Linked DNA regions of Cricetulus griseus. The protein of the gene in region 4 purifies or fractionates together with the protein of the main gene of each other region. This does not show direct contact. Links are inferred from orthologs where the notes say so. Each region holds a gene or a part of one and is shown on either strand. Other genes may lie near its edges.

Region 1 (4,290 bases), on a different chromosome or scaffold from region 4:
GTGCATCTGCACTGGCTGCCAAGTGTCACAGATATGGGTCAAACAAGTACCTGCCCTTTAGGCAGCTGTACTTTGTGGCCAACTGAGACAGGACTTCAGGGGGAATCAATGAAACACAGCACATGCAAAAAGAGGCTGTGGCCTAAGAGAGTCTTCAGCTCTAGTTATTCTTTCACGGCTGAGATTCTGCCAGTCTTGGAATCAGGCAGGATCAGGTGCCCTCTCTGCAGGATGACAGAGGCTCCTCCCTCTGGGCACCACACCTGATTGGGTTACCTGCAAAGGTCATCACCTCTTGTTAGCCTCCCAACCAACAGGAGCCAATTCAGTGGCTTTCAAAGTTTCAGCCTATGACTGACAATAATCTTTTCCCAACAATGATGCAGAAGATACATGGAATGCCACAGCTGAAACAGTACTTCATGTAATATGATTGTTACATGCCACACAGTGATGTTTTCTATTTTCTATCCTTGCCTATGCAAAATAAAAATGCTGGTGGCAAGACCCCCAGGCCAAGTTTACATCACTCACTAATACATTTTTTGGTGGTGTTTTTTTATTTTCTGAGACAAGAGTTCTGTAACAGCTCTGGCTGGCCTTGAACTCACAGAGATCCTCCTGCCTCTGCCTCCCAAGTGCTGGGATTTAAGGCGTATATCACCACGGCCCAGCTCACTAAGTCTTAACCTGCAATCTTCAAAGTCAACAATCCAATAAGCCTCCTGAGTCAGCTGTGGTGGCCCAGGCCTGCGATACCAGCCCTAGGGAGGCTTAGGGAGGAAATTTAAGGCTTAGGAGAGAAATTTAAGGGCATCCTAGGCTATTATATAGCAAGGCCTCATCTGAAAAAAAAAAATAATAATAATAATAGACACAAAACAAACAAAAAAAGCTAAAAAAAAAAAAAAAAAAAAAAAAGCTTTCGTAGGGCCATTCTTTCCTATCTCTCCAGAGGACCTCCCGTCTCTGTAGTAACTACTCACATTGCTCTCTTCTTGAAACCCTTCAACTGTACCATAAAACAAAACCCAAACTCCCTTTCATGGGCCTGTAAGCCCTTACACGATCTTGCCAGGTTCCACATAACCATCTCCTCAGGGACTGGTAATCTATCACTGAGCCTCCAACAGGCCAATCCCCACGCATCCCGAGGACCTCTGCACAAGAATCCCAGGTCATTTTCAGGATGCTCATTTTCCTTAAATGTAAGCATTGCCCCTCCCTCCAGGACTAGACAGGTTTAGTGAAAACCCAATTTGAATAGCTGCCTCCAACTCTTTCCACCATTAACACAATCCCTTATTTCCTGAGTGGTCCTAACCTGGAACTTCTCTATTTGCTGCTCAGGTGTTGGCTATCCTCTGCACTAGACTTTGAACTCTACGAAGGCTTCTCTATGCTTCATATTCCTCAACCATCAAGTAGACATAATAATTATACTTCACCGTTGTTATAGGGTCATTACTTGTAAAATTAAAAAAAAAAAAATTCACAGCCCTTCTCCTAAACCCTAATGCTGTCTGGCATCAATATACTACCAAAAATATTCATTCTCATTAGCTGTGCAATTCAAAATTTATAGTGCCCAACTTATGATTTGCCCAAGGGCACAGCCCCAGGGAACAGTATAATCAAGAAATCCGTCTAGCAGGTGTCAATGAGTCTTGATTTTATTCTTAACCACTATGCTGCACACATCTTTGATAAAAGGCAGTATGGTGTAGTGGGTAAGAGGTCGGACTCCCGTGCGAAACCTTACAGGTTCAAATCCCACCTCTGCGCAACGTACCAGCTGACAGAAAGCATGAATTGCATAACCTTGGGTCCTTTCCTATTTTCATCCCTAAGCCGGCAATAAAAAAAAAAAAAAAGCACCGGCTTCAAAGAGAAAAGTGGAACATCCATGAATGAATGACTGTTGCTACGTGGCAACATGTTTTCTTCAAATAGGATGAAACGAAGACAGCCACAAATGAAAAGCAGGAGATGTCACCCATCTTACCCTCTTGTAACAGGAATCACGTTATCCCCATTTCGCAGATACCTTTTCGCTCCGAAACCCAGAAACCCTAAAGGCAATTACAACTGCAGGACGACCTGGTTTAAGCACCGCCACCCCCCGTGACTGAAGAGTCCCAGGGTCTGAGGAGCAGTCGCCTTTTGACTCTGCTTAAGCACAGATCAATCAATGAGGCGCCCCGGGCCCGGCACCACCAGCAAGGGTTGACCCGGTTCAGCTAGGACGCAGACCCCGGCCCATGCGGGCGGCCCTGACGTCCCATAGCTTTCTCCATGTCGCCGGTGCTCAGGCGCCCTTCCCACACCTCCGAGAGCCGCAAGCTACCGGGCACCAGTGCTCTCGCAGGTGCGGCTCCGGAGCCAGGCCCGGGCGGGGCAGCGCGGCCGAGGCCTGAGTCAGCGCGGGCCCCACGGTCGTCGCCTCCCCGACGTCCAGCCGTGCGGAGCGACCGGGAAAGCGAGGCGGCTGCCCGTGCGCCCCGCCCGGGTCCCGGGAGGCCGCGGCCCCTCAGCACGCAGCGGCGCGGGCCTCTCCGGCCTACTCCGCAGAGAGGCCCAGACCTCCGCGCGAGTGCGACGGCTGCGGCCGGAACCCCGGGGCTGCCGAGTCGGCACTCACCTCTCAGCCAGGGCCGCGCGCGAGCGGCGGCAACGGCCCAGGGACCCGCGGGCTGCAGAGACGGTGGCGGCCGGGTCTCCTATTAGGCAGCGGCCATGTTGCTGCTGGAGAAACTCCGGCGGACACGTGGGGGGAGCGGGGCCGGCCCTCGCGCTTCCTCTTACCCACAATGCCCCGCCCCAGAGCGCGCGGGCCCGCCCCTTCGGCGAGCTACTCGTGGTGCAGAGAACGAGAACCAACTGCAGAGGTCGCCGCTGGGGCGGCAAAAAGTAGCTCAGGGTTAAGGTAGGAAAAAACACTGATCCTGGCAGCGGTGGGATTCGAACCCACGCCCCCGAAGAGACTGGAGCCTTAATCCAGCGCCTTAGACCGCTCGGCCACGCTACCCAGCTGCTCATCTGGCCTTCTAAGAAGCTACTTAATGTTCTAACACATGCATACATTTTTTTTGTTTGTTTCTTATAATTTTTCGGGGGTTGTATTTGTGTTTTATCTACTCCTGATAGAAATTGTCACAAACAATATTGTTAAAACGCCAACTATTAAAATTAAATTATTTATATCCGAGCTTGTTCCAAATAAGCTTTAAAGCAAAAAGCAGTTTAAATCGCGTTCTGATGGTTAACGCGTCCAGTTAAACCACGCCGTCACCTACACAACCCGAATTAGGTGTCTTGGAGACTGATCCTGGCAGTAACTCTCACCCCAGCTCTGAGAAGCGAACCATGACCCCACATCTGCACAGTTCTGTCTGAAAAGTCACGTGTTTAAATTTTTAGTACGCAAACAATATTAAAACTTCGCATATAATCTTCGTAATATTCAACATAATAATTCTTTAACCTTTGACTTGCTTTAGTTTCCTCGTAACCACCATTATCGGCTGATTATACATCCTTTCGGATCTTTCGCTGTCGGTTTCTATGGATGTGTATCTCCATGGAAAAACAGTTTTGTTCATATTGTGTATGGGTTGGTATATAAATATTTATTAACATACTAACGCATAGAGAGCTGGCTAGTTTTTTCACCAGGCTTTTCATTTTTCTTTTGTTTTTACCATTTGTAAGTATCTATGCATGTTGATGTACACATACAGGCTTTTACATTTATTTTATTTATTTGTTTATAGGGGCGGCATGTTGTGGAGGTCAGAGTACAGACTTGCTGGAGTATATTCTCTCTTCCCACCATGTGGGGGCGGCTTAGATTGTCTGCCTTGCAGGCAAGTGTCTTTACTCGCTGAAACCAGCCCCATACGTTAAAAGACTGAAAAAGACACAGTGAAAAAAGTCACCCATATTCCCACCACCTAGAATTAAACTCATTCCTGCATATACTTTTGCACATACATATGTGTATTTGTGGTTTTGAGTTAAGGGCTCATTGGGCCCAGGCTGGCTTTGAACTTGTTATCTAGCTAAAGATGCATTTGAACTCCTGCGTCTCCTGGTCCCACATCCCAAGTACTGCTAGATGGCTCAGCAATTAGGGGTGCTTGCCGATAAGTCTGAGAACCTTGAGTCCAATCCCTGGAACACACAAGATAGGAGAATGAATCCCACAAATTGTTCTCTGACACACACACCCACACAACAAAGAAAGAAAGAAAGAAAGAGAGAGAGAGAGAGAGAGAGAGAGAGAGAGAG
Region 2 (3,951 bases), on a different chromosome or scaffold from region 4:
TGGGCTCTATTTACATACCTACCTAAGGAATGAAGATGTTACCTGATAAGTCATTTTTTTCCATTAAAATTGGGGCCAGGGAAACAACTCAGGTGGTAAAAAACTTGCTGTGAAAACACAAGGATGGAGTTCAGTCTCTAGAACCCATATAAAAGAGTTGGGTAGGATGATGTGTAGGTCTGTAATCCCCGGTGCTCAGGAGACAGACACAGGTGGGGCCCCTAGGGCTTTCTAGTCAGGTAGCCTAGTTAATTAACAAACTCCCTTCATCCCAGCATGTGGGAGATTATTAAGGCAGGGGCAAGTAAATCTTTGAGTTTACAAAGTGAGTTCCAAGCCAGCCAGATTGTCTCAAAACAAACAATAAGTAGGTGGTTCCTGATGAACCAACCATCCTTAAGGCTGATCTCTGGCCTCCATATGCATACAAGTGTCCACACGAACATGCCCACACAAAACAATAAAAAAGTATTCGGTTTACTCATCATAATTCTATATTTCATGAGTGCTCTGGAACTCAAGCAGTAAACTGGTTATCTATCCTACAAATACTACAAAGATGGACCTTGATGCCAATTCAAATTCTCATGAAGAAAGCAACAACAAAAAATTCTCATGAAAAGTTAAAATTCTCAAGAGTCCTTCTAATTATCCTCATCCTTACTAGGTCTACCAATCATATGAAAGGATGCATTTACATTAATAAAAATCCAGGGCTGGCAAGATGGCTCAGTGGGTAAAGATGCTTGCCACCAAGCCTGACAAACTCTAAATGGATCCCATATGATGGAGAGAATCAACTCCCACAAGTTGTCCCCCGACTTCCACCTGTGTCATGGCATGCTGGTACACACACACACACAAAGTAAATGGTTAAAAAAAAACTCAAGTCCCTCTGCCAATCTTTTCCTGCCTTTTTAAATACAGTCTACGGTTTATGTTTTATTCCATCTCCCCTTCCTCAGCACTCCAATCATACAGAAATGAATAGCCCTTTTAATATCCATGATCAAGCCGGGCATTGGTGGCGCACGCCTTTAATCCCAGCACTCAGGAGGCAGAGGCAGGCGGATCTCTGTGAGTTCGAGGCCAGCCTGGTCTCCAGAGGGAGTGCCAGGATAGGCTCCAAAGCTACACAGAGAAACCCTGTCTCGAAAAAAACAAAAACAAAACAGACAAACAAACAAACAAAAATCCATGATCAAAACCCTCAAATTGGCCCAATTATCCGTTCACTTTCTGTGTTGGTCCAAGTAAGGGGTGGCACCATCCTTGGGGATCACCTAGGTACAAGGAAGAGAAACCACTCAAACTAGTTTAAACAAAAGAGAGAATTTATTAGGCAAATATACTTGCAGAGATTCCAACAGCTGTAATGGGTCAACAGCTGGAACCACACCTTCCTATAAGACAGAACATGCTTCAATCACAAACTCTAGCTTTGGGATCTGCACCATCATGAGGGTGATCCTCCTTGTACCCTGCACGAGGGACTAGAAAGTGGGTTCATTTCTGCTTGCCTTTTGATCCTTATAATCCTTTATGCTGGCCTCAAACTTGTCAAGCACATGTTGGCAGACATTCATGAGCTCATTCAGGCCTTTCTGAAACGGTTCAACAGCTGGAAGGGTACCCCGTGTCTGAATTCGCAAATTAATTTTGCTCTCTGAAGGATGGGTCGTAGTGTAACCACAAAATTCCACTTCCGGGTTCTTCATGATCATGTACCGAAGAGAATTTCCTAGGGTATGGTCCTCCTCGTGCAGTACAAATGTCACACACTGTCTATCTGTTCCAGCTGCCTGGACCATTTCCAAGGCTGTCTTCCTCTCGCCTTCGGCCATTGAGGTCTTCAATCCTGACATTTTTCTACACACATATTTTTTTGTAAGAATGAGATCATATGGGATACCATTTTGTGATTAAGCTTTTTAAGATTCACCACCTCAGTTTCCTGCCTCCGATACTTCTATACATAAATATTTAACTCGAGTTTCTCTCTACTCCATTTGATATATTGCCCACAAGGGGAGTCATCTCAGAAAATAAACACAAATGTTTGCAAAATCTTTCTTTGAATAGAGAAAAAGAAAGGGGCAGAGTTATAATAGGGTAGGCCCTGCTGAAAGATGAAATGGGAGTTGACAGGCATAAAAAACACGATTACTTTAGCATAAAAATGGCAACCACAAGTTATTAAGGTGGCAGGCTCAGTTATGGCTTCCCTTTGAAAGAGGTAAGGAAACTAGTAAGTCAAAGGAAGTGAAAAGTTTAATAGGAGGAAGAATTTGGCGGTCAGAAAGAATTTACGAGCAGTCTGCAGAGCGGAGTTGCAGTAACTTTAGCCGACTTAACATGCCAGCACCGCCCGGTGCGTGACCTTACACGAGGCAGTTCTAATGGGGATGGCAGTTTGGCACTTAGAGCTGGATTCCCAACTTCTCTCCCCTCCAGGATGGCTAGTGTCCCTCTGAGCTTTTCTGTATAAACAAACCCACCACCGCTTCTCCTCCCTCTTCCCAACCCGCTCGGCTCTACTCTCGATCTTCCCTTGCCCAGCGCCTCGGGTCAGGCCTAGCCGCCCCGCCGGGCCGCAGTCGGCCGCGTGCCCGGTCGCTACCCGCTTCGCTGGCCCGGCCCGCCGCCCCCTCCACTCTTCCCCTCCAACCTTACCTCTCCAGCTCCTGATCCTCTTCCATCGCGAGGGGCGGCTCCAGGAAATCCTCAGGTGGTGCTGCCGAAAAGGACGCTCTTCCCCATATCGCGAAAGATGCGGGCGAAGCAGGAAGGAAGAAACCACCGACGGAAGAAGCGGATGACGGAAGGAGGGGGGCGGAGCCGCAGCGGCGCGGCAGGACCCGATGGAGGGGCGGGGCGAAAACAGAACACGCCCCAGCCACGCCCCGTGCGGGCCGGACCGCTCACCTGGAACTGCGGAAGCTAGGAGGCTACGGTGCAAGCAGTCCCTCGCCTGTCGCCCCCAGACACTGCTGTTTAGGGTCGGAGTTGAACCTCTCATCTGCTAGACCCACCAGGGACGGTACTGCCCCGGGACTGTCTTCCCCCCCCCGGACTGGAGTCCTTTGGAGCCTTTCGTAGGGCACCTTGCAACCTTGAAAAAGCAGAGAGACTTGTGTGCAGAGATGACTCTTCTGACCATACTGAGGTTTACAGGGAGCATTTTTCTCCCTGGGGTGCAAATGCACATCTCCATCAGGTGCAAGGCAGCGTTTGTCTTTCTTTTCGGAGAGAAGTATGAGTTTGGAGCACCGCCCTCCTTCCCCAGGAGCTCGGGTTTACCCACTGTGGACCTGCGGTTCCTTTCCCCTTTGATCCCAAGGAGCCGCCCTTCTCTTCCCCTCAGGTGCATCCTCCCAGTTCCCACCTGACCCTGGCCAGGCTGGGTCCCCGCCCCACCCCAGCTGTCCTCTAGCGCACACCTACACGTCAGCCACCCCGCACCACCTGTTCTCCCTCAGCCTGGTCCCGCAGCCCTCCCCTCCCTTCAGCTGTCCCACGGCCGGCGCGGCGCTCCGGGGTGCAAGCAGACACTTCCCGAGCGTCTTCTCTGTGTGTGTCTGAGAGAATCCGGCCGGGAGCGATGGCGGAGGGCGGAGCGTGCTCACTCTAACTCGGGAGTGATGAGCAGGGCCGGTCTGGCCCCTCGAGCTCCTTGATTGGCCGAAAGACTCAGAGCCCGCTCTTAGTCCCGCCTTTCTCCGCCGCTGATTGGCTCAGGTGCGTGTCGGGTTGGGCCCCTGCGCTCGCCCCCGAGGGGAAAGGCAGCAGGGGCGGTTGAGAAGTGAAGTCTTGGCCGGACTTTGCTTCTCGCCAGGAAATCGGCGGCGGTGAGTCCCGGCGGAGTGGAGCCGGGCGGCGTCCTCGTCAGCGCTCCTGCGAGGAGCCCGCCGCTTTCCCTGAGTGAGTTACTTCGCCTCAGGTGCGGGCGGT
Region 3 (4,239 bases), on a different chromosome or scaffold from region 4:
TCCCCTCCTTCCTCTCTTCCCGCTCCTCCCACCTCCCATCCACCACTCCTTGGTTCAGAAAGCCGCGAACTTCCCATGGGCGTCAACAAAGCATGATATATTAAGTTGAGGCAGGACCAAGCTTCTCTCCCTGCATCAAGGCTGGGTGAGGCATCCCAGCATCGGGAACAGGTTCCAAAAAGCCAGCTCATGCGCCAGGGACAGGTCCTGATCCCACTACTAGGGGCTTCACAAACAGGGCAAGCTAAACAACTGTCACCCACATGCAGTGGGCCTAAATCGGTCTGATGCAGGCTCCCTAGCTCCCACTATCTCAGGTCAGCTGTTTCTGGGTTCCCCAAGTTACGATCTTGACTCCCTCTTACTCGTACAATTCCTCCTCCCTGACTGTGGATCTCTGCATCTGCTTCCATCAGTTACTGGATGAATGCTCTCTGGTGACAATTAGCGCAGTCACCAATTACAGGAGAAGGCCAAGTGCTCTTAAGCTGAACCATTTAGCCCCTTCGTAGTGCTTTCCTATTTCACGCATGACCTTCGGCTTAGTGGTGGCACCGCCCACAACGGGCTGCGTCCACTTCTATCAATTTGCATTCAAGAAAATGCCCCATTGAGTTACCTACTTATAAGTCTGATAGAGACATTTTCCCAATTGGGATTCCTCTTCTAGATAACTAACTTGTTAAAGTTAATAAAACAAAACAAAAACAAAAAACCCACAGGAGTCACCCCAACCCCTCCCTGTGTAGGTTATAGAATTCTTGCAGAGGATTAAGGAGGTAAGACATTTAAAAGAGGTCTGAGAAGGCAGAACTGGGAAACGTAAAGGAGTCTATAGGAATGAGACAAAAGAACCAGATGGAGGTCTGTGGAGAGGAACTGCTGGTATTGTAGGTCAGAGTTGATCTGTAGAATTGAATCTAGTGAAATGGCATAAGTGAAATAAGTGAAATGGCAGAACTGGGACCAGGTGAAGAAATGGTCAGATTGGAAAGATGGTAAGTACAGATAGACAGGTATTCATACGTTAGGCAGACAGCAGCAGAGAGGTAGTATCAACACTAGGGGCTGAATTAAAGTCCCTGGGACATTAGGTTAGTCTCTGCCTGTCAGTCCCGGCTCAGAAGATGCGAAGCAGCCGGTCCTGCGCCACTGTGACAAGACCTTCCTGAACACGTCCATGGCTCGGAGTGCGGCACTGTCTTCTCATCACCTGTACCTCCCTCCGAACCTTATTCCCGGGTAGGTCAGGCGTGTCAGCTGCCAGCCCCATCTCTCGGGCCATTTAAGCCTGTGCTTGCGTCAGGGAGATCCGTGCGCACGCGCAGGCATTACAGGAAAGCTGGGAAGGCAGACAGCGCACTATTGGAGGGTGGGAAGGACTATCTGCGTTGACCAATGGCATGTGAGAGCTGCCTGCCGCAGTGCCTTCTGGGTACGTGCCAGTGGCCGCTTCTATTGGGCGTCTGCGGCCGCGGAAGCTTTAGACAGTAAGAGCTTACTTGTTGGATCTGCAGCAATGTTGCTTTTCTGTCCGAGCTGTGGAAACGGACTAATTGTGGAGGAGGGACAGCGTTGCCATCGTTTCGCCTGCAACACTTGCCCCTACGTGCATAATATCACACGCAAGGTGAGTCCCAGAGGCGAGCGCCTCCTCCACTGTCGGTGCGCTCAGACTTCCTGCGGGCGGTAGTTTTTTTTTTTGCTCACCTGTGGAAGTACCTCAAGTTCAGTAGTTGGTAATCCAGTGGCATCGCTCCGGCCAAATCGAAGCCACTCTTCTGGTCACTTCAGAGATTTCTGCCTCTGGCTCTCTGCTGCCGGTTTTGTGACACCCAAAAGGTTGCGAGATTTCCGTTTTACCTCTAGGCTGAACCACGCCTTTAAAACCTACAGCTGTCCTCCGCACGCCAGGCTCCAATACGCTTATCACCTTCTCTGATCTCAAATCTTAATGTTCTTTTTGTGGCTCTTCTTGCTCCCAGATCCTGTCGCTATTCTGGAGGATCTTACCTCCAAAAGTGCACGCAGTACTGTTAGCTCCTTCACGTTCCTTTCGCCCGAGTTTTCTTTCCCAACGAGCCATTTGGCGCTCTCTCTCTCTCTCTCTCTCTCTCTCTCTCTCTCTCTCTCTCTCTCTCTCTCTCTCTCTCTCCTCCCTCCCTCCCTCCCTCGGTGTGGGTATGTCTGTCTGTTTCTCTCTTCCTTTTCCTTTATCTCTCTCCCTCTCCCTCTCCCTTTTGGCTGTTGGTACATGCCTATAATTCCATCACGTGGAGAGGCTGTGGCAGGAGATTAAGTTCAAGGCTCACCTGGGCTGCATAGCATATGTATATGAAAATTAAGTAAACGAAGAAACCAAACCCAGCTCTTCCAGTTTATTCTCATTCCTTTTTCTTTTCCCAGGATTCATCGTCTTCTAATATATGTCATTGTTGCTGCTTTGTGTGTGTGGTGCTTGTGTTGGAACCCAGAGAAGCTGCTTTTACAGCCCTTTGTATTGTCTACCTTTCCATTCTTGTTCCTCCTTAACTCAGTGTCCTGAGTTCTGTGATTTCAGATGTGTATCATCAGGCCTTGGTGATACCTCATTTTTAATGTTTGCACTTAAGAGCTGTATGGTAGGAGTTTGGAGTCTGGATATGTGATAAGATTGAATGGTGACATAATTTTTGAAAATTGAAGGATGACTAAAGCAACGAAATGTGTCCCTGGGAATGCTGGGATACCCAGATAAATGGTGCTATTAGGCTTTTGTCTGTCTTTCATGTTGGGTTATTAGGGGTATGAGAGAAGAGCATGGTTTAACTCAGCTGTCTTCCTGCACTGTCTGCTGTTTCCTCCAGTTTCTAGGGGTCTCTGACATTGAAACTGTGCTGTTTTGGGAATATCTCAGTCACAAAACCCCTACATTTTAATGGCTCTTGTCGCTCTTTGAAGAAGATAAATTTTGTATCCATTTACTGAGTAGAGGAAATGCTGGAGGAAAGTTATAGTTTGGTGGCCTGCTTTTAAAACTATATGATTTCTTAAAATCTGATGACTTGTTTTTGTTAGGTAACAAACCGAAAGTATCCAAAGCTGAAAGAAGTGGATGATGTGCTTGGTGGAGCAGCTGCCTGGGAGAATGTGGACTCTACTGCAGGTGAGAATTTTCCCATTACAGAGCCAGTGACTCAACCCTATTTATTATTACTTATTATTATACTTAATAATAATAAATTTATTGTTATTTATTATAATGCAACCCTGTATATTGTTAGGACCAGTAAGATGGCTCAGCAGGTAAAAGCACTTGTTTCCAAACCTGTTAACCTGAGTTTGATACTTGGAGCCCAGATAGTATAAGGAGACAGCTGATTCATGAAAAGTTGTTTACCAACTCCCACCCCCTCAACCAGTAGTTATAAAAGAATTTAAGAAAATATAAACAATAATGACAAATAGCTTGTGTTTGCCAATACAGGAAATATTTTGATATGTTGTAGTCACAATATAGTCATTCTTTAAACTCTAAGCAAGGCATTAAGACCTTTTTGTTTGTTTGATTTTGTGTTTTGAGACAGGGTTTCTCTGTGTAGCCCTGGGTGTCCTGGAACTCTCTCTGTAGACCATGCTGGCCTCGAACTCAGAGATCCATTTGCCTGCCTGCCATGTGATAGGTTTAAAGGCATGTGCACCACCACCTGGCCATATTAAATTTTTTTAAAGCAGATTTCTTTCAAGGATTAAATATACTGAAAGGAAAATCACCATATTGATACCTGCTCTGTTGTTTCATTTAGATTCTCAGGACAGATATGGGCAAGTATAAGTAAAAATCTGGTACATATTCTCTTCTTGAAACAAATTTGGGGTTTATTACAAAAAAGTTTCAATGTTGATTTAAACTTAAATATTGATGGTTGTTGAGAGGAGGCGAGAGGTGTAAAAGGACAGTTGTCCATGCTCTAGTGGGTACAGGCTTCTCAAGAGAATTCTGTTGTATGTATTTTCAAATACCAATATTGTAAAAATGATTAGCCCTAGTCTTTTTTTATTTTTAAAAATGTTTATTAAATTAAAAACAATAAAAAAATCTTATTTTACATACCAATCCCAATTCCCTCTCCATCCTGTCCTTCATTCCCCCCCCCATCTCCTCATTCCATCCCCTATCTCAAAATAAAACAAAAGCCTCTACTCATTTTCCACTTTCAAGGCTTTTGCTTATTTTTGAGATAGAATCTTGCTGTGTAG
Region 4 (3,500 bases):
TCAAGGCCATAATCATGCTTAGGGAGTTCATGAGGCTGAGGGTCCTCTTAAGTACTAACCCAAGTTAAAACCAACTCAGTTTGAGCCTATTTTGGCTGGGAAGTCCCAGTAAAAGCTGCTCCTGTTCCTTGGAGAGGAGCTAGTTTTTGCCAGGACCCAAAGTGAGAATGACATTCCCAAGTCTGGAAATTTGAATGACCAGGGACCCCACACTTCTCATTCAAGCCTCATAACTAATGTGACAGACGGGTAGATCATGGGCTTGCCCTGGTCTCCAGAAGATGAGGTAGGTTTGAATGTCACCTGCCTGAGGAACATAAGGCAAGGCCAGATTTGCTGACAAGTCAGAGTCTCATTTAAACCCTACCTCTGCCCACACAGGCCTGGGCACAAGCAGAGGCTGAGCTCTGCTCTTCCCCCATAGCCTACATAGCCATACTGCCCTCTAGTGGCACACTGCATTCTCCATGTCATGCTACTGCTGGGAGCTATGATTAAGTTCAATTGTGACAGGCCATCTGAGCCTCTCTCCCAAGACCATGACCAGTGACAGTCCCATTAAAACAGCCCCAGAAAGGTGATGGTGGCACATTAACCTTGAAAGGATACAACTTGGCAGGCTGTTGCAGTGACTCAGGGGGGATGAGAATGTCATCGAAGAACCCTAAAGAGACTGGAAGAAATGAAGAACATGAAGGCATGGGATGGGGACTTCAAAGGAACAACCCAGAAGAGATGGCTGGACACTGCAAAGCAAGCCTGTAATCTGTCCCCTCCTGCCTCAAAGCCCCACATCTAACTATACTACCAACATGCACTGAGCAACCCTGGGCAAAGCTCCAAGTATCCAGAGTGCTCACTGCACACCCAGGGACCCATAGGCACTGCGAGCCTGTCTCCTCCACCAGCCAGCTCAGTACCCATCCTCAGATCCTAAGCTGTGTCCTTAGAGTGACGGTTGAATGAGGCTCTTACTCCATGCATGAGGGATGGGGCACCCCTTGCTTGGCCCTTTAGCTGGGCAGTTTCTCTGATGCCATAGGGAAGATTCAGCTGGATACACTGCCCACCCTGTGTTCTAGTCTCACCCCAGAAGTCACCCCTTTTACCATGCACACCCTCTGGGCTGCAGCCTTTGATCTTCCCGATGAGAATCTCATCCAGGAATGGGTGAAACACCACATATCGGAAATGGACTGGAAAAGAAGGGAATACTGTTGTCAGGTACACCAGACCCTCCATGACAGCCATGGAACTTGGGGCTGATCATGTTCACCAACGTCAACTTCACTGCCAGTACACTTACCCAATGGTCCATGCCAAGGTCTGGACCTGTCTGCCAAGCCAGAGAACCGACCCTCCCTCATTTCTGCAAGGTCACAGCTTGGTCTCCAAAGGGACGGGCAGCAGCTGCTGCCCTGGACTAAGGCTGGTTTCCAAATAATCTCCATCACACCTGAGCCTCAATTCTGGGCCATTGGTGACTCCAAAGTCAATTCCAAAGTCCCTCCAGGCTGTCCTTTGCATTCTAAAAAGACAGCAGCAACTGGCCAGACTTGGAAGTCCCCATCTGTTGACGCCTGGGCAAGCTTACCCTCAGCACAGAGCTGACCTGGGATAGAAAACTAAAATGACAAGGCTGCCTGTGGTGATGGAAGACACGTGGGGAAAGCCTTCCTGGGTTCTCAGGCCTTGTCCTATGTGCTCCCCACTCACTTGAACCCAAGTGGCTAAAGCTGTATTCACATCAGAATGACTACTGGCCTTAGCAGATGCCACACCTGTCACTGACCCTCTCAAACAGGAAGATGCCCTCTGCCATTAGCCAACTGCCTGTATGAACCGCCTGTGCCAGATGCCATGTTTCCACCAAACAGAGGAAGAGATAGTTCAGAGAGGCTGGGTGACCTATTCCAACCACACAGCTTTCCTGCCCATTCTGCAACGGGAAGCCTTTAGGCCAGTGATTCTCAACCTTCCTAATGCTCATGTTGTAGTGACCCCCAACCATAAAATTATTTTTGTTGCTACTTCATCATAACTGTAATTTTGCTACTTGCGTTGTGAATTGCAATGTAAATGCCTGATTATACGGGATATTTGATATGCCACCCAAAGGGGTCATGAACCACAGGTTGAGAACCACGGCTCTAAAGTCTTTCTTCAGACAGGCTCAATCCTAGCACAGGTTTTTACCAGGACTCCTTCAGTGTCCTCCCTTGCCCAGCTCTGTCTACCTGTCTTCCTGCACACTACCCCGTAAGATGACAAACATCCTGAAGATGACTTCGTCTTCTGCTAACTTTCCAGAATACAGCCAGGAGCAGACATGGGCCACTTACCCACGGATGGAAAAACACTGCCCTCCACATGACCTAGCGTTCAGCTAAAAGCTTCTGCCAGGCTTCATTTGGCATGGGCCTAGCGGGCAGGACAAACAGCGTGTAAGCTAGTGCCCAGGGCCTGAACACTACATCTAAAGGTAAGTGGTGAGCAGCCCATCTCCACTGACTAATGAATGAACAAAAGCTCAGTGTACACACACAATACATTAATCAGCCTCAAAAAGGAAGGCTGAAGCTGGACATGGTGGCATACACCTTTAATCCCAGCACCCTGGAAGCAGATCTCTGTGACTTCAAGGCCCGCATGATATACAGGGTGAGCTCCAGGACAGTCAGGGCTATGCAGAGAAACCCTGTCTTAAAAAACAACCAACGGCTAGAAGATGTGGCACAGGGGCTGGACAGATGACTCAGTGGTTAAAAGCAATGACTGGTCTTCCAGAAGATGCAGGTTCCTTTCCCAGCACCCACAAGGCAGCTCAAACTGCACAACTGTCTATTACTTCAGTTCCAGGGCACCTGGCACCTTTACACCATTACCGATAAAATAAAGTTGAATAAATTAAAAAACAAAACAAACAAACAAACAAAAGTGACATACTGGCGGAACACCTAAGTTGGCATGAGGCTCTGGGTTTCCATCCTCAGAACATCATGCCACCCCCACCCCTGCCCTGGCAGGGGCATGAGGTTAAGTGGGTGGAGTGGGAAGGTAATCACTTGTTCTTAGTTAGCCGGCACAGATGTATTCCAGGATACGTACTCCACACAACTCTTGGAAAAGAACAAATCCCTTTTCCACTCACATGAGGCACTGAAGTGGTCAGGTACTCCAAAATGGCTCAGTGGATAAAAGGACTTGTCACCAAGTCTGACCACTAGAGTTTCATCACCAGGACCCAAATGCTGAAAGGAGAGAACACACTGTACTTCTGACCTCAACCTGCATGCAGCAGAGGTTGTGACATGGCCGGATGCTCTTACAGTGCTCATGGCCCTCAAAGGACTTCCCACTGTATGACAAATAAAATAGCTACCCAGGCCCCCATCCCAGGGGCCAAAACTAGAACTGAAACACAGATCTGTGGGATGTACTTAACCCAGTGCTCAGTACTTACACATCTTCACAATGAAACAAGAGACCCAGGGTGAGCA
Region 5 (4,266 bases), on a different chromosome or scaffold from region 4:
AATTGGGAGTTTCACGTGAGAATCCATGAAAAACCATTAAGTGGACTTATGTCAATTTGTTTTGTTTTTCCGAGACAGGTTTCTCTGTGTATCCCTGGCTGTCCTGGAACTCTCTCTGTAGGATCAGGCTGGCCTTGAACTCAAGAGATCCGCCTGGACCTGCCTGTCTCCCAAGTGCTGAAATTAAAGGCATGCACCACCATGACTGGCAATGTCTAATTTTCTTTTTATGGGCCACTTTTAAAGAGACTAGAGTATATGTTCTCAGGTAAGCAAAATACGTAATACTGAGAAAGACTGAAGTATCTGGACTTCATCTGCAGTTTTGCTTTGTGGCACCATGATTTTAGAGGCCAAGGATAACAGCTTATTTCTGTAGGCAAATTCATTTTATTTACAGCACAGTTGCTACATTTTGTTATATTTATCTATCCCTTTCAGTTAATAGATTAAATAATATGCTACAAAAACTACCCAGTAAAAAAAAATGCTATGAAGAAAACCTTTTCAAGTACCTTTTTATTCTGGTGAGGCAAGGGACACAGCAAATTTAAAACTTAGTATCTAATTACCAAGATAATAGAAAGCCAGGCATGGCTGCTAAATGCCTGTAATCCCAGCACTTGGGAGGCTAAAGCAGAACCACCATAAGTTCAAGGCCAGCCTAGACCATAAAGTGAACTCCAGTGTAGAGTAAGACTCTTCTCCAACAAAATAAAACAAAAAGACAGAATACAAGGGTGGAGTGTGAACCCTTTCAGTTGGCCCATGTTTCACATAAAGAAACTTTTAAGACACAAAGTAAAGTAGACATAGTAGAAGAGTCCTTTAATTCCAGCACTCAGAGGCAGAGGCAGGTGGATCTCTGAATTCAAGGTCAACATGGTCTAAAGTTTCAGGATAGCCAGGGCCATACAGAAAAACTTTGTCTCAAAAGAGGAGAGGGAGAGGGAGAGGGAGAGGGAAAGCAAATATCAACCACTGAGATCCATAAAAGGCATATGGCTATCTTCTGTGTAACAGCACGACAATTAGTGTTTTCCAGTGCCCAGTGCTGGGACTAACAAACTACAGTGATTTTTTTTCTGCTTAGACACAGCACTCCATGTTTTTAGAAAAGAAGAAGAAAAAAGGAGACCGATCTAAAATACTGTAAAAGACAGGTTCTCACCCCTCAAAACGAAGGGCAATGATCTACTGTTATTTTTTGAGACAGGGTCTCTTTCTCTATAGCCCTGGCTGTCCTGGAACTCACTATGTAGGCCAAATTAACCAAGGGTCTCAAATTAACCAAGATCTACCTACCTCTGCCTCGCAAGTACTAGGATTAAAAGAGTGCACCATCATACCCAGCTAGTTTTAGTTTAGTTAAAATATTAGATACTATCTCTTCTATCTGCTTTGATAGAACACAATAGATCACTGGTTTTCAACTTTCGTAATGCTGCGACCCTTTAATACAGTTCCTCATGTTGTCCTCATCCCAACCATAAAATTATTTTTTTTGCTACTGTGTAACTATAATGTTGCTACTGTTATGAACTGTAAAGTAAATGTCTGTTTTCTGAAGATCTCAGACAAACCCTTAAAAGGGTTGTTCAAACCCCAAAGGGGTTGCAACCTACAGACTGAGAACTGCTTCTAGCTGGGAAGTCGAATGTGCTGGTAGATTTACTGTCTAACAAGGGCCCACATCCTTATTCTTTCCCCTGTGCTCTGGAATGATAAAGAGCCAACAGAACACTTTGGGTGTCTTCTATACAGGCCCTAATTCCACTCATGAGGACTCTACACTCACGATCTGTCACCTTCCAAAGGTCCTACTTATCACATCGCACATGGGGATTAGATTACAAAATTTGAATTTGATGCTGATGGCAGAGAGGGTCAAACTATAGGCATGAAGTAAGAATCTGGAAAAAATTCTGGCAAGTAGTACAGTTAAGCCATACAGAGAGATTTACAACCTTAACAACAAAGGAGTTGGGAGATTATCCCCTTTAGGATGGACTACCACTGATCTAAACTCCTGTCCTGGACACAAAGTCAGTGTGGCAGCATGCTCTCCTGAAACAGTGCTGCTGAAGTGAAGAGGAATGGACAGTGTGGAAAACGGATGTCCACTTTACATTCAGGCCCCAAGTCTGCACACATCCCATCGTCAGCTGTTCCTCTCAATGAAACCCAAGAACGAACCAACAGAAATGGTGATAATAAACCTGATATGATGAGTTTCAATGAAGACATTAACAAGTAACTTTACATGTCACCTTCACGCTCTATCTGTTATCGCAGTACTTGGTCAGTGTAGGTTTGCTGGCTTCTTTTCCAGAGCTTCAAGGTATTTTCTTGAAGAGACTTCCCTATTAAACTTTATTAAACTTCATCTGCTTTGTGTTCTGTCTTCGGAAATAAATACGTTTTCATAGCAGCAAGTCAGTATCCATCATAGAGAAGTATGCTTTCAAAGAAACTGGATGTTCTATCATGAATTATTTGCTCTCCAAGTAATTCATTTGCCAAATGTAAGTAAAATTCACAGCTCTCTATTAAAATTCGAGCCACTCTGTCATGTAAATACAATTAGATGGTGAAATCTCACCACCTTCATGGCAGTCATCAAAAACCTTAAAAAGAAACACAAAAAAAAGTTCACATTCAAATTGAAGCTTTTTTGTTTTGTTTTTCGAGACAGGGTTTCTCTGTAGCTTTGGAGGCTGTCCTGGTACTCCTTCTGTAGACCAGGCTGGCCTCGAACTCACAAAGATCCACCTGCCTCTGCCTCCCAAGAGCTGGGATTAAAGGCCTGCGCCGCCACTACCACCGGCTTCAAATTGAAGTTTTAAAATACCTAAACCCCCATTGATTTAAAGCAGTACTAACACAAGAAAAAAAGAAAACACTATTTGAATTGGATTAGGACTGTATTTAGGAGCACAATATAACAGTGCCTACCTTGTGATCATAGTCAACTTTTTATAAGCTTTTTGTTTTTAGCTTGTTTTTGTTTTTTTTGAGACAGTGTCTCACTATATAGTCCCAGCTGTCCTAGAACTCCCTATGTAGAACAGGCAGGTCTGAAACTCACAAAGCTCTGCCTAACAAGTGCTGGGATTAAAGGTGTACACTATCCTGCCTAGCTTGGAGGCCTATTAACACATCATAAAGGTGATCCCATTCACCTGCCCACTGGTAAAAGGCTATCAGCTGGTTCATAGGAGTGAAGAAAGTGAGTCCTATACTTATGAACAACTTAATTTGTACTAAATTGAAGGTTGTTTTATGCTTAACTATCTTTACAGGGTGTAAAGTAGGATGTACAGGATGTTGGCTTTTGTTTAGGAGTTGAAACTGGGTCACAGAGAGCTTATAGGTACAGACAAGGGTTATCATAATGAATATGTCAGAATAGCAGCCCAAGAATATAAATGCCACAGGGATAGGGAGTGCTTTTGCTCTCTGTAGCCTCAGGATGTCCAGCACCGTGTTTACGAACTACCTAGGAATGAATGAGTGAAAGTGCTAAAGCATAATGGAAAAAAAATTATACTTATTCAAAGTGATACTTTCTGCTTAAGTCTAAGTTCCTTCTGTTCTGGGGGGAGGGCACTAGGGGTTAAAACCTGGGGCGAAAGGCCATGTGTATACTAAGCATGTGCTCTGCCACTGAGTTACACTCAGCCCTAAGTTCTCTCACTCCTTAGGGGAAATAACACCACTAGTGCCCTGGGCACAGAAGGATTAGAATAAGTTTGGCTCGTGGCAGCTTTTGAACAAATTTCATTTCCCTCCCTACAGAGAAGAAATGGTTAGTCCCGATGAAAATGTATCCATTTCAGGGTCAAGAACAGAAGGACATGTCCCTACCCTGAATGCTCCAAGAAATAATGTAAGACCTGTTCATTAACAATCTGTCTATCAAGAGTCTGTGGCAGTTTGAATAGCTCAGGTGACACTTGCTGGTGGGAAGCCTGGTGTGCCTGTTGTTTCTTTATGTGGCATTTGCACATGGTGGTGATAAAAGTACAAAATGAAGCAGCTTTTACTTACGGGGCAGAGTCCACAGGGTGCCCGGACTAAGCCTGTAGGTGGGAGGATTGGGTTGACTGCCCTGTACAGTTTCATGTGTCCATCTACACTGCCGACAGTGCCTTCCTTTGCAGCAATGATCGTCATCTCCACTTTCCCATCATAAATGAGTGTGTTCAGGATGGTTTCTATGTCCTCCATAGACAACTCTACCTAGAGACGGGGACGTTAGAAAGC
Region 6 (3,500 bases), about 77 Mb from region 4:
AACTGATAAAAACCTTCCATAATGTAACAGGATACAGGATTAACTAAAAAAAAATCAGTAGCTTTCCTATATACAGATGACAAATGGGCTGAGAAGGATATCAGAAACATCTCCTTTACAATAGCCATAAATAACAAAATACCTTGGTGTAACTCTAACCAACTAAGTGAAAGACCTGTATGACAGGAACTTCAAGTCTTTAAAGAAAGAAATTAAAGAAGATATCAGAAAATGGAAAGATCTCCCATGTTCTTGGATAGGTAGGATCAACACAGTAAAAATGGCAATCCTACCAAAAGTAATCTGCAGATTCAATGCAACCCCCATTAAAATCCCAGCATAAATCTTCACAGACCTTGAAAGAACAATACTCAACTTCATATGGAAAAACAAAAACCCAGGATAGCCAAAACAACCCTGTACAATAAAGGATCATCTGGGGGCATCACTATCCCTGATTTCAAGCTCTACTATAGAGCTATAGTAATGAAAATGAAAAGCTTGGTATTGGCATAAAAATAGACAGGTAGACAAAAGGAATTGAATCGAAAACCCCAATATCAACCCACACACCTATGAACACCTAATTTTTGACAAAGAAGCTAAAAATATAAAATGGAAAAAAGAAAATAGATTGAACAAATGGTGTTGTATAACTGGCTGTCAATGGGTAGAAGAACGCAAGATCCGTATTTATCGCTACGAACAAAGCTCAAATCCAAATGGGTCAAAGTCCTCAATATAAATCCATCCACACTGAACCTCATAGAAGAGAAAGTGGGAAATACACATGAACGCATAGGCACAGGAGACCACTTCCTAAAGAGAACAGCAGTCGCACAGACTCTGAGAGCAACAATTAATAAATGGACCTCTGAAAACTGAGAAGCTTCTGTAAAGCAAAGAACGAGATCAACAAGAGATTAAATATGTTAAATGCAGATATACAAAACAGTAGAAAGAGAACTATAGACATCACAAAAAGGTGAAAAAAATAGAAAAAATATTGATTCTAAAATTGAAGTGAAGCAACCTAGTTTACCAATACCTCGGCAGCTGTCACACTGCTTCTGTCCACATGAACTTGGGAATTTGAGACATGATGGCCTTGTTGGGATTTCCTTCTAGACGTATGTGCCTATGCCCTTTGGTACCTCAGCTGCTGTCTTAGCTTCTTATGTTGGTAAGTATGAACTGTACTACTCTCATCAATTTCCTTAATTCCTTACTTGCAAAAGCTGTCAATCAAGTTACTCTTATCTGCTGGTTTTCATTTTGTATTACTATCATTTCATACCAAGCACCTGATGCCAGGATAAGAATGCATTTTTGGTTCAATAAACTTAGGGTTTTGTGTTTGTGACAAGGTCTCACCTTGTAGCCCCAGCTCCTCAAACCCCTCGCACCCTATTCTTGAGTTTGCTAGTATTACAGGCGTGGTTTTGTATGCTGACTGACATTCCATGCCATAGGATATCTCTGAAGTTAGGGAGCAGCTCTCATCATCCTCAGACTTTTACCTCCTCTTGTTCCTCTTCATCGTACTCCTCTTGCTCTGCTTCATCATTGTCATCATCATCATCGTCATCGCCATCTTTATTTTTCTTTTTGCTCCCTTCTTTCTCTTCATTCTCTTCATCCGATTTTTCACCATCGCCTCTCTTTTCTAGTTCCTGGTAAAGGGAGATTCATTAATTTCCACTGAAACAACTATTCTTACATACCCAGCCCAAAGAGAAGAATTATGGATCATTTTAGGCTAATCCTAAATTAACACACGCCCGCCAGCCTCCCACCTCAGAAACTCAAGGAAAGGTCACCCACCATGCTGTCCCATTCTTCAATTTTGTGACTTAATCATTGGGCTTTGCTAACCTGGGGTTAGAATTCTAATCTACAATGCTTGCTTTTCATGTTTCCTATCCTACCTCCTCCTAAAATGTGTGGCATGATTTAGTTTATCCCCTTCCCATCTCCTTTGTCTTTCATTACTTCCCATTCCCAAGATTTTCTGCTTCGTGATACATCTGGAAGGTTGTGAAAAGGGGATTAAAACGAAAGTAAGTGAACACACCAGCCATTATGAGCCATCCTAGAAATAAGGAAGAGAAACAGAGTTGGGGAGTCTTGATGATTCTATTGATACTTGAAAACTCACCATGCCACAACCTCACAATTTGAATTTTATAAACACCTCATGACTGCCATTTTTTTTTTTCAATTGACAAAGGTGACCCATTTTTATTTCTGTTGCTCTCAGTTCACTAAGTTAGATGACCCTCACTTTACATAAGGGACAGAATTTCACAGGTTTTCTGGGAGCTGGGTACAATAATCATTTTGCATCTTCATAATTTAGGCTTCACATGACTAATTTCTGATTGGTCTTAACCCAGTAATTAGAAGAGTAACTAATAAAAATGTGTAGGCATTCTCCATCTCTCTTTAAGACTTTGTCAATTACTCATGAACAAGAAAAGCTATTTTACATCCAGAATAACTTCAACTTAGCTCTTCTTTAACTCCCTAAATATTTACTTTAAAAATTCTTTTAAAATCCCAGCACTTGGGATGCAGAGGCAGGCAGATCTATGTGAGTTTGAGGCTAGCCTGGTCTACAGAGTGAGTTCCACGACAGGCTCCAAAGCTACACTGAGAAACCCTGTCTTGAAAAACCAAAACCGAAACAAAACAAACAAAAAATTATTTTAATTCCAATTTTAAGTGAAGAAAATCAAAGGCAAAGAAAAGGCCACATTAAACAGACCCAATTTAAATGGATCACCTTTGAATGTTTGTATATGTGTGAATGCACGGGTGTGCATTAATATGTTCGTGTGTGTAGACATGCATGTGAAGACTGGAAGCTGACATTGGATATCTTCCTCAGTCACTCTCCATTTAATTTAGTAAAACGGGTTCTGGCTAGTTTTGGCAGCCCGTTGCTTGCCTTCGGGATCCCTTCTCTCTGTTTCCCAGGTGCTGGGATTATAGGTAGCTACAGGCTCACCTGACGTTGTGTGCATGCTGGGGCTTGGAGCTGCAGTTGTTATGGTTGCACAGTGAATGCTTTATCTATTGAGCCACCTCTTAAGCACATAATACTCAATTTTTAAATAAATCAAGCTATCTTGCTTGCAACTCACCTCACTCAAGCAGACCAAATTAAAATCAAACCTTGTGTTGCCTTGGCAGTTATTACAGCAATACCTTGTGTACAATTTCTCAACTGTCAATTTTCTTGGAAAATCTCAAGTGAACAAAATTTTCACAAACCTTTGATATATCTGACACACTCACGATGCTACATTAATATTAATTAATATAAGGTATTGTGCATTTTCTAATTTAACTAAATCGTAAGTAACAAGGCCTATAGCTAAATTCAATTATATAATTTATTTTACTCTGTGAAAAATATATTCTGTGATCTGGAAAGACAGCCACTAATTATTTCATAATTATAAACTAAATAGTTTTATTAAAAACAAAAACAAATA
Region 7 (4,158 bases), on a different chromosome or scaffold from region 4:
AAACTGCTGGATCTCAGACTCAACACTCCCAGTATATTTTTTCTTTTTGAGACAGGGACTTCTTGCATCAGTGTTCTCAACCCATTGGTCCTGACCCTTTGAGACCATAGGAAAACATGAGTATTTACATTATGACTCCAAACAGCAAAATTACAGATAGGAATGTTAGGGTTGGGGGTCACCACAACGTGAGGAACTGTTTTTATAAAGGGTCACAGCATTAGGAAGGTTGAGAACCACTGCTCTACATAGCTGTCCTAGCACTCACTGTATAGACCAGGCTGTTCTTGACCACCTGCCTCGTCTGTGTCTGCCAGGTTCTGGGGTTATGGGCATATGATGCCACGCCTATCCCTGCACCCCTAATTCTCACAGGCCCCAGGACCTCAAAGGTATTGAAGGCAACAGACTGTCTGGGGAGACCAGGAGGCAGCTGCACAAGAAGGGCTCAGGCTCTTTAATAGCACCCCTCCCACTTTCAGAAGTGCCTGGGCTGTAAGGCAGAAACTACACAACACAGCAGATGGGAGCCAGAGGGCCCAAGAGCTGGTGCTGGGACTCAAGGGGCAGAGAATGGACACCAACCAAACAAGGGAAGGTTTCCAGGGGAGGCAGGGACAAAAGCAGGCTGGCGACTACAGTAGTCCTGCAGGCAAGGCTGGGCCTGGGTGGTACCCACCCTCACTGGCTGGACAGAGAGCAGGAAGACCACAGAGGGAGGGCTGTGACATGTTACCTTAACTGGCACCTGAGCCAGGGACTGGGGAATGCCACCAGAATTATGGGACCCCAGAATCAGGCCTCTGTTACTGGTCCAAGGGGCCTCACCTGGGAAGAACACAAACATCTGGTCTGTGGGATCATCGTTGTGGGCCACCAGCACTGTCAGGTCTGTGCGCCTGGGTCTTCCTTCACTGGGTTTGTCCCCAAACTGAGCCTTGAACTCCTCAAGTGTCTGGTCCAGCTCATCCTGGGTCACCAGGTAGCCACGGTCATGACACAGCTGCAGAGACAAAGAATCACCTGTCTTTAGAGAGGAAATGAACACTCAGCATGAACTCCGGGACTACAGTGCCAGACCTATCCCTGAACAGCCTGGGCTGCTCGGGGATAGCATGAGGAGGAGCACTTAAGTGACCCAGCAGTACTGGCCAAGCCACAGTCTGGTCCCCAACCAGGCCCCACCCCACCCCAGCCTCACTGGGCAGGCTAGGGTAGATCCCCTGGCAACTTCCACCTCTCAGTGCCCCCACCCACTCTTCCTGTTTGGTCTTAGGCGTGATGAGGGAAGAGTAGAGTGTAATCCAGCATCGGGTTGAGGGGCAGGCCTGAGAGACCAGGCCCTGGGGTCCACCCAACGCAAAAATTAAAACTATGCAGGCCTCTTTCTCAACTGGGGTCTGGTCTGTCTCTTCCCTCTTCGTCTCCTTCTTTTTGTCTTTTGTTGTTCAGAGACAGGGTTTCTCTGTGTAGCCCTGATGTCCTAGAACTCCCTCTGTAGAACAGGTTGGTCTTGAACTCACAGAGATCCGCCTGCCTCAGCCCTCTGAGTGCTGGGATTAAAGGTGTGGACCACCACTTCCCAGCCAACCTAAGTTTCTTGGGACAGGGTCTCACAATGAAGCCCTGAGTGACTTCAAACTTTCAAATAGGCCAGGCTGGTCTTGAACTCAAGAGACTGACTGGCCTCGGGCCCAAGAGTGATGGGATGAAAGGTATGTGCTACCAGATTAGTATTTTTACCTTTTCTTTATTTTGGTTTCTTAAGACAAGGCTTCTCTACAAAGCCCTGACTGTCCTGGAACTCGCTAATGTAGATCAGGCTAGCTTCGAACTTACAGAGATCACCTGCCTGTGCCTCCCCAGTGCTGTCGTTAAAGGCTTCTCTCTGTCACTACGCCGGGGCAAAACTGTTTTTTGTTTTTTTCAAATATTGTTTTTCACTCTGTGTGAAACAGTCGAGAAAAGTGCGTCAGACCCGCTCAAACCAGGGTTACAGATGGTTGTGAGCTGCCGTGTGGATGCTGGGGCCTGGGCTAAGTGGGTGGAGGGCTGCCCCGCAGGCAGAGAACCCAGAGTCTCTCCCTCCGGCCCCCCATAAACACGGTGTGAGCACGCAGAGAACCCCGAGTCTCTCCCTCCGGCTCCCATAAGCGCGGTGTGAGCGCGCAGAGAACCCCGAGTTTCTCCCTCCAGCCCCCCATAAGCGCGGTGTGAGCGCGCAGAGAACCCCGAGTCTCTCCCTCCGGCCCCCATAAGCGCGATGTGAGCGCGCAGAGAACCCCGAGTCTCTCCCTCCAGCCCCCCATAAGCGCGGTGTGAGCGCGCAGAGAACCCCGAGTTTCCCTCCTCCGGCCCCCATAAGCGCGGTGTGAGCACGCAGAGAACCCAGAGTCTCTCCCTCCGGCCCCCCATAAACACGGTGTGAGCACGCAGAGAACCCCGAGTCTCTCCCTCCGGCCCCCATAAACGCGGTGTGAGCGCGCAGAGAACCCAGAGTTTCCCTCCTCCGGTCCCCATAAGCGCGGTGTGAGCGCGCAGAGAACCCCGAGTCTCTCCCTCCGGCCCCCATAAGCGCGGTGTGAGCGCGCAGCAGCCCTCCCGAGGCAGGGTGCGGGCTGGAGGCCGGCCGGTCACTCGCCTGCATGATGGTCTTGCGGATCTTCCACAGCCGGTAGGTCTCCTCCTCGTCGTCCATGCTGCCGCCGTCGCCCGGGAACCGCTGCGCCTGCGCCGAAGCCGAAAAGAGCTCCTCCCACTCCTGCGCACGCAAAGCGTCTGCGCGGAACAACGGAAAGCCCTCCCCTTCCCGCTCAGCGAGCTCTGTTCTGTCTTCCGCCTGGAAACGCGACTTCCACCTTAGGCTGCGTAGCGGGCAGCCCCGGCGATCCGCTGCGCGAGACCACCATCGAGAAAATGTCGCGATACTTGGCCGTCACAGCTTAAGAGTTCTCGAGAGGGAACTGGGCGCGTAGGCCACGCCTTTAACGCCGCCCTGGGGAGCCAGAGGCAGGCGGATCTCTGAGAGTTCGAGACCAGCCGGGTGTGCAGAGCGACAGGACCGCCAGGGCTGTTATACAGAGGAACCCTGACTCAAAAAACAAAACAACAACAAAAAGAAATGTCTATGTATCTTTTTCCTCTTTGGGGGGTGGGGTGGTTCACTGTGAGCCCTGGCCGGCCTGAAATTTGATATATAAACCAGGTTGTCTCAGTCTAGAATTAAAGGCGTGTACCAGCATGGCCAGCACTGGAAAACCAGATGCTCGCCATACCTCCCATTCTGTCCCGCCCGAGCTTGTCCTCAGAGTCCGCAGGTCATCTCTAATTCCTGCCTGGGAACCTGTGCTGACCCTGACTTGGAAAGGCAAGTTTCCAGCAAACTAGCGAGGCCCCCACCAAGTCTGTCTGACCACTGAACCCACTGCATGGGCTGCAAAACTGGGCTGCGCCTGGGACACCCTGGTTATAGAAGCCACAAACGCAGAGTAAGGGGATAGAGACACAATACGTTTTTGGAAAAACATATCTAGATCTGGGAGCAATGGTGGGTGCATTTGGTCCCAGCACTCTGGTGGGCAAATCTCTCTCTCTGAGCTCCTGACCAGACCCTGGGGGTTTTTGTGGGGTTTGTTTTGGTTTTTGGTATGGGGAGGAGCCCTTGTCATTAACTTTCAGGTGACAACAACCCTCTCATTCTTTCGGTGGTTGGTTTTGTTTTGTTTTGAGACAGGGTTTCACTGTGTAGCTCTGGCTATCCCAGAACTTGTCTGTAGACCACACTGATCTCTAACTCACAGAGATCTGACCATCTGACTGCCTCTGTCTCCTGAGTACCGGGATTAAAGTCCTGAACCACTACTTTCAGACAACTCTCTCATTCTCGGTGGTAATGAATGGGCAGAGCCTGAGTACCTGGGACATTAGGAAAATAATTGGTGCCACTGAGGGGAGTCAGTCCAAAGTGTAAGGATACATGCAAGTGCCTGTCTGTAGGAGTCCCTCCTCTGATCTTACCTCCTGTGGTGGTTTGAAAGGAGGCAGCCTCCAAAGGAATTGTTGAGAGGTGTGACTTTGTTGGAGTAGGTGTGGCCTTGTTGGGGGAAGTGTGTCACCATGGGGGCATGCTTTGAGGTCTCTTGTATCCTTGGGAGGCCT

The links.
Region 1: the proteins of Polr3h (region 4) and Polr3e purify together in Homo sapiens (affinity purification with mass spectrometry; 9 studies listed by BioGRID and IntAct, counting the BioPlex papers as one, with this or other methods). This does not show direct contact. The link is inferred for Cricetulus griseus from reciprocal best matches to the Homo sapiens genes POLR3H and POLR3E.
Region 2: the proteins of Polr3h (region 4) and protein POLR1D purify together in Homo sapiens (affinity purification with mass spectrometry; 6 studies listed by BioGRID and IntAct, with this or other methods). This does not show direct contact. The link is inferred for Cricetulus griseus from reciprocal best matches to the Homo sapiens genes POLR3H and POLR1D.
Region 3: the proteins of Polr3h (region 4) and DNA-directed RNA polymerase III subunit RPC10 purify together in Homo sapiens (affinity purification with mass spectrometry; 3 studies listed by BioGRID and IntAct, with this or other methods). This does not show direct contact. The link is inferred for Cricetulus griseus from reciprocal best matches to the Homo sapiens genes POLR3H and POLR3K.
Region 5: the proteins of Polr3h (region 4) and Polr3f purify together in Homo sapiens (affinity purification with mass spectrometry; 4 studies listed by BioGRID and IntAct, with this or other methods). This does not show direct contact. The link is inferred for Cricetulus griseus from reciprocal best matches to the Homo sapiens genes POLR3H and POLR3F.
Region 6: the proteins of Polr3h (region 4) and Polr3g purify together in Homo sapiens (affinity purification with mass spectrometry; 5 studies listed by BioGRID and IntAct, with this or other methods). This does not show direct contact. The link is inferred for Cricetulus griseus from reciprocal best matches to the Homo sapiens genes POLR3H and POLR3G.
Region 7: the proteins of Polr3h (region 4) and Polr2e purify together in Homo sapiens (affinity purification with mass spectrometry; 6 studies listed by BioGRID and IntAct, counting the BioPlex papers as one, with this or other methods). This does not show direct contact. The link is inferred for Cricetulus griseus from reciprocal best matches to the Homo sapiens genes POLR3H and POLR2E.

What each region holds. Positions count from the first base shown.
Region 1 is NC_048596.1:79,735,656-79,739,945, forward strand, and holds the start of Polr3e (DNA-directed RNA polymerase III subunit RPC5), read right to left. Parts: upstream 2,801-4,290; 5' UTR 2,642-2,800; intron 1-2,641. UniProt on the Homo sapiens protein: DNA-dependent RNA polymerase catalyzes the transcription of DNA into RNA using the four ribonucleoside triphosphates as substrates.
Region 2 is NC_048597.1:82,928,628-82,932,578, reverse strand, and holds the start of protein POLR1D, read right to left. Parts: upstream 2,801-3,951; 5' UTR 2,700-2,800; coding exon 2,674-2,699; intron 1,870-2,673; coding exon of another isoform or gene 1,494-1,869; exon of another isoform or gene 1,314-1,493; intron 1-1,313. Other genes in the region: Polr1d (DNA-directed RNA polymerases I and III subunit RPAC2), read right to left, coding at 1,494-1,869, 2,674-2,699.
Region 3 is NC_048599.1:60,488-64,726, reverse strand, and holds the start of DNA-directed RNA polymerase III subunit RPC10, read left to right. Parts: upstream 1-1,439; 5' UTR 1,440-1,519; coding exon 1,520-1,630; intron 1,631-3,057; coding exon 3,058-3,145; intron 3,146-4,239. UniProt on the Homo sapiens protein: Core component of RNA polymerase III (Pol III) which synthesizes small non-coding RNAs using the four ribonucleoside triphosphates as substrates. Can mediate Pol I proofreading of the nascent RNA transcript.
Region 4 is NC_048595.1:379,057,081-379,060,580, forward strand, and holds part of Polr3h (DNA-directed RNA polymerase III subunit RPC8), read right to left. Parts: intron 1,197-3,500; coding exon 1,110-1,196; intron 674-1,109; coding exon 610-673; intron 1-609.
Region 5 is NC_048599.1:34,454,945-34,459,210, forward strand, and holds the end of Polr3f (DNA-directed RNA polymerase III subunit RPC6), read right to left. Parts: intron 4,243-4,266; coding exon 4,051-4,242; intron 2,628-4,050; coding exon 2,550-2,627; 3' UTR 501-2,549; downstream 1-500. UniProt on the Homo sapiens protein: DNA-dependent RNA polymerase catalyzes the transcription of DNA into RNA using the four ribonucleoside triphosphates as substrates.
Region 6 is NC_048595.1:302,134,360-302,137,859, forward strand, and holds part of Polr3g (DNA-directed RNA polymerase III subunit RPC7), read right to left. Parts: intron 1,674-3,500; coding exon 1,521-1,673; intron 1-1,520. UniProt on the Homo sapiens protein: DNA-dependent RNA polymerase catalyzes the transcription of DNA into RNA using the four ribonucleoside triphosphates as substrates.
Region 7 is NC_048598.1:100,836,432-100,840,589, forward strand, and holds the start of Polr2e (DNA-directed RNA polymerases I, II, and III subunit RPABC1), read right to left. Parts: upstream 2,801-4,158; 5' UTR 2,699-2,800; coding exon 2,642-2,698; intron 1,028-2,641; coding exon 829-1,027; intron 1-828. UniProt on the Homo sapiens protein: DNA-dependent RNA polymerase catalyzes the transcription of DNA into RNA using the four ribonucleoside triphosphates as substrates.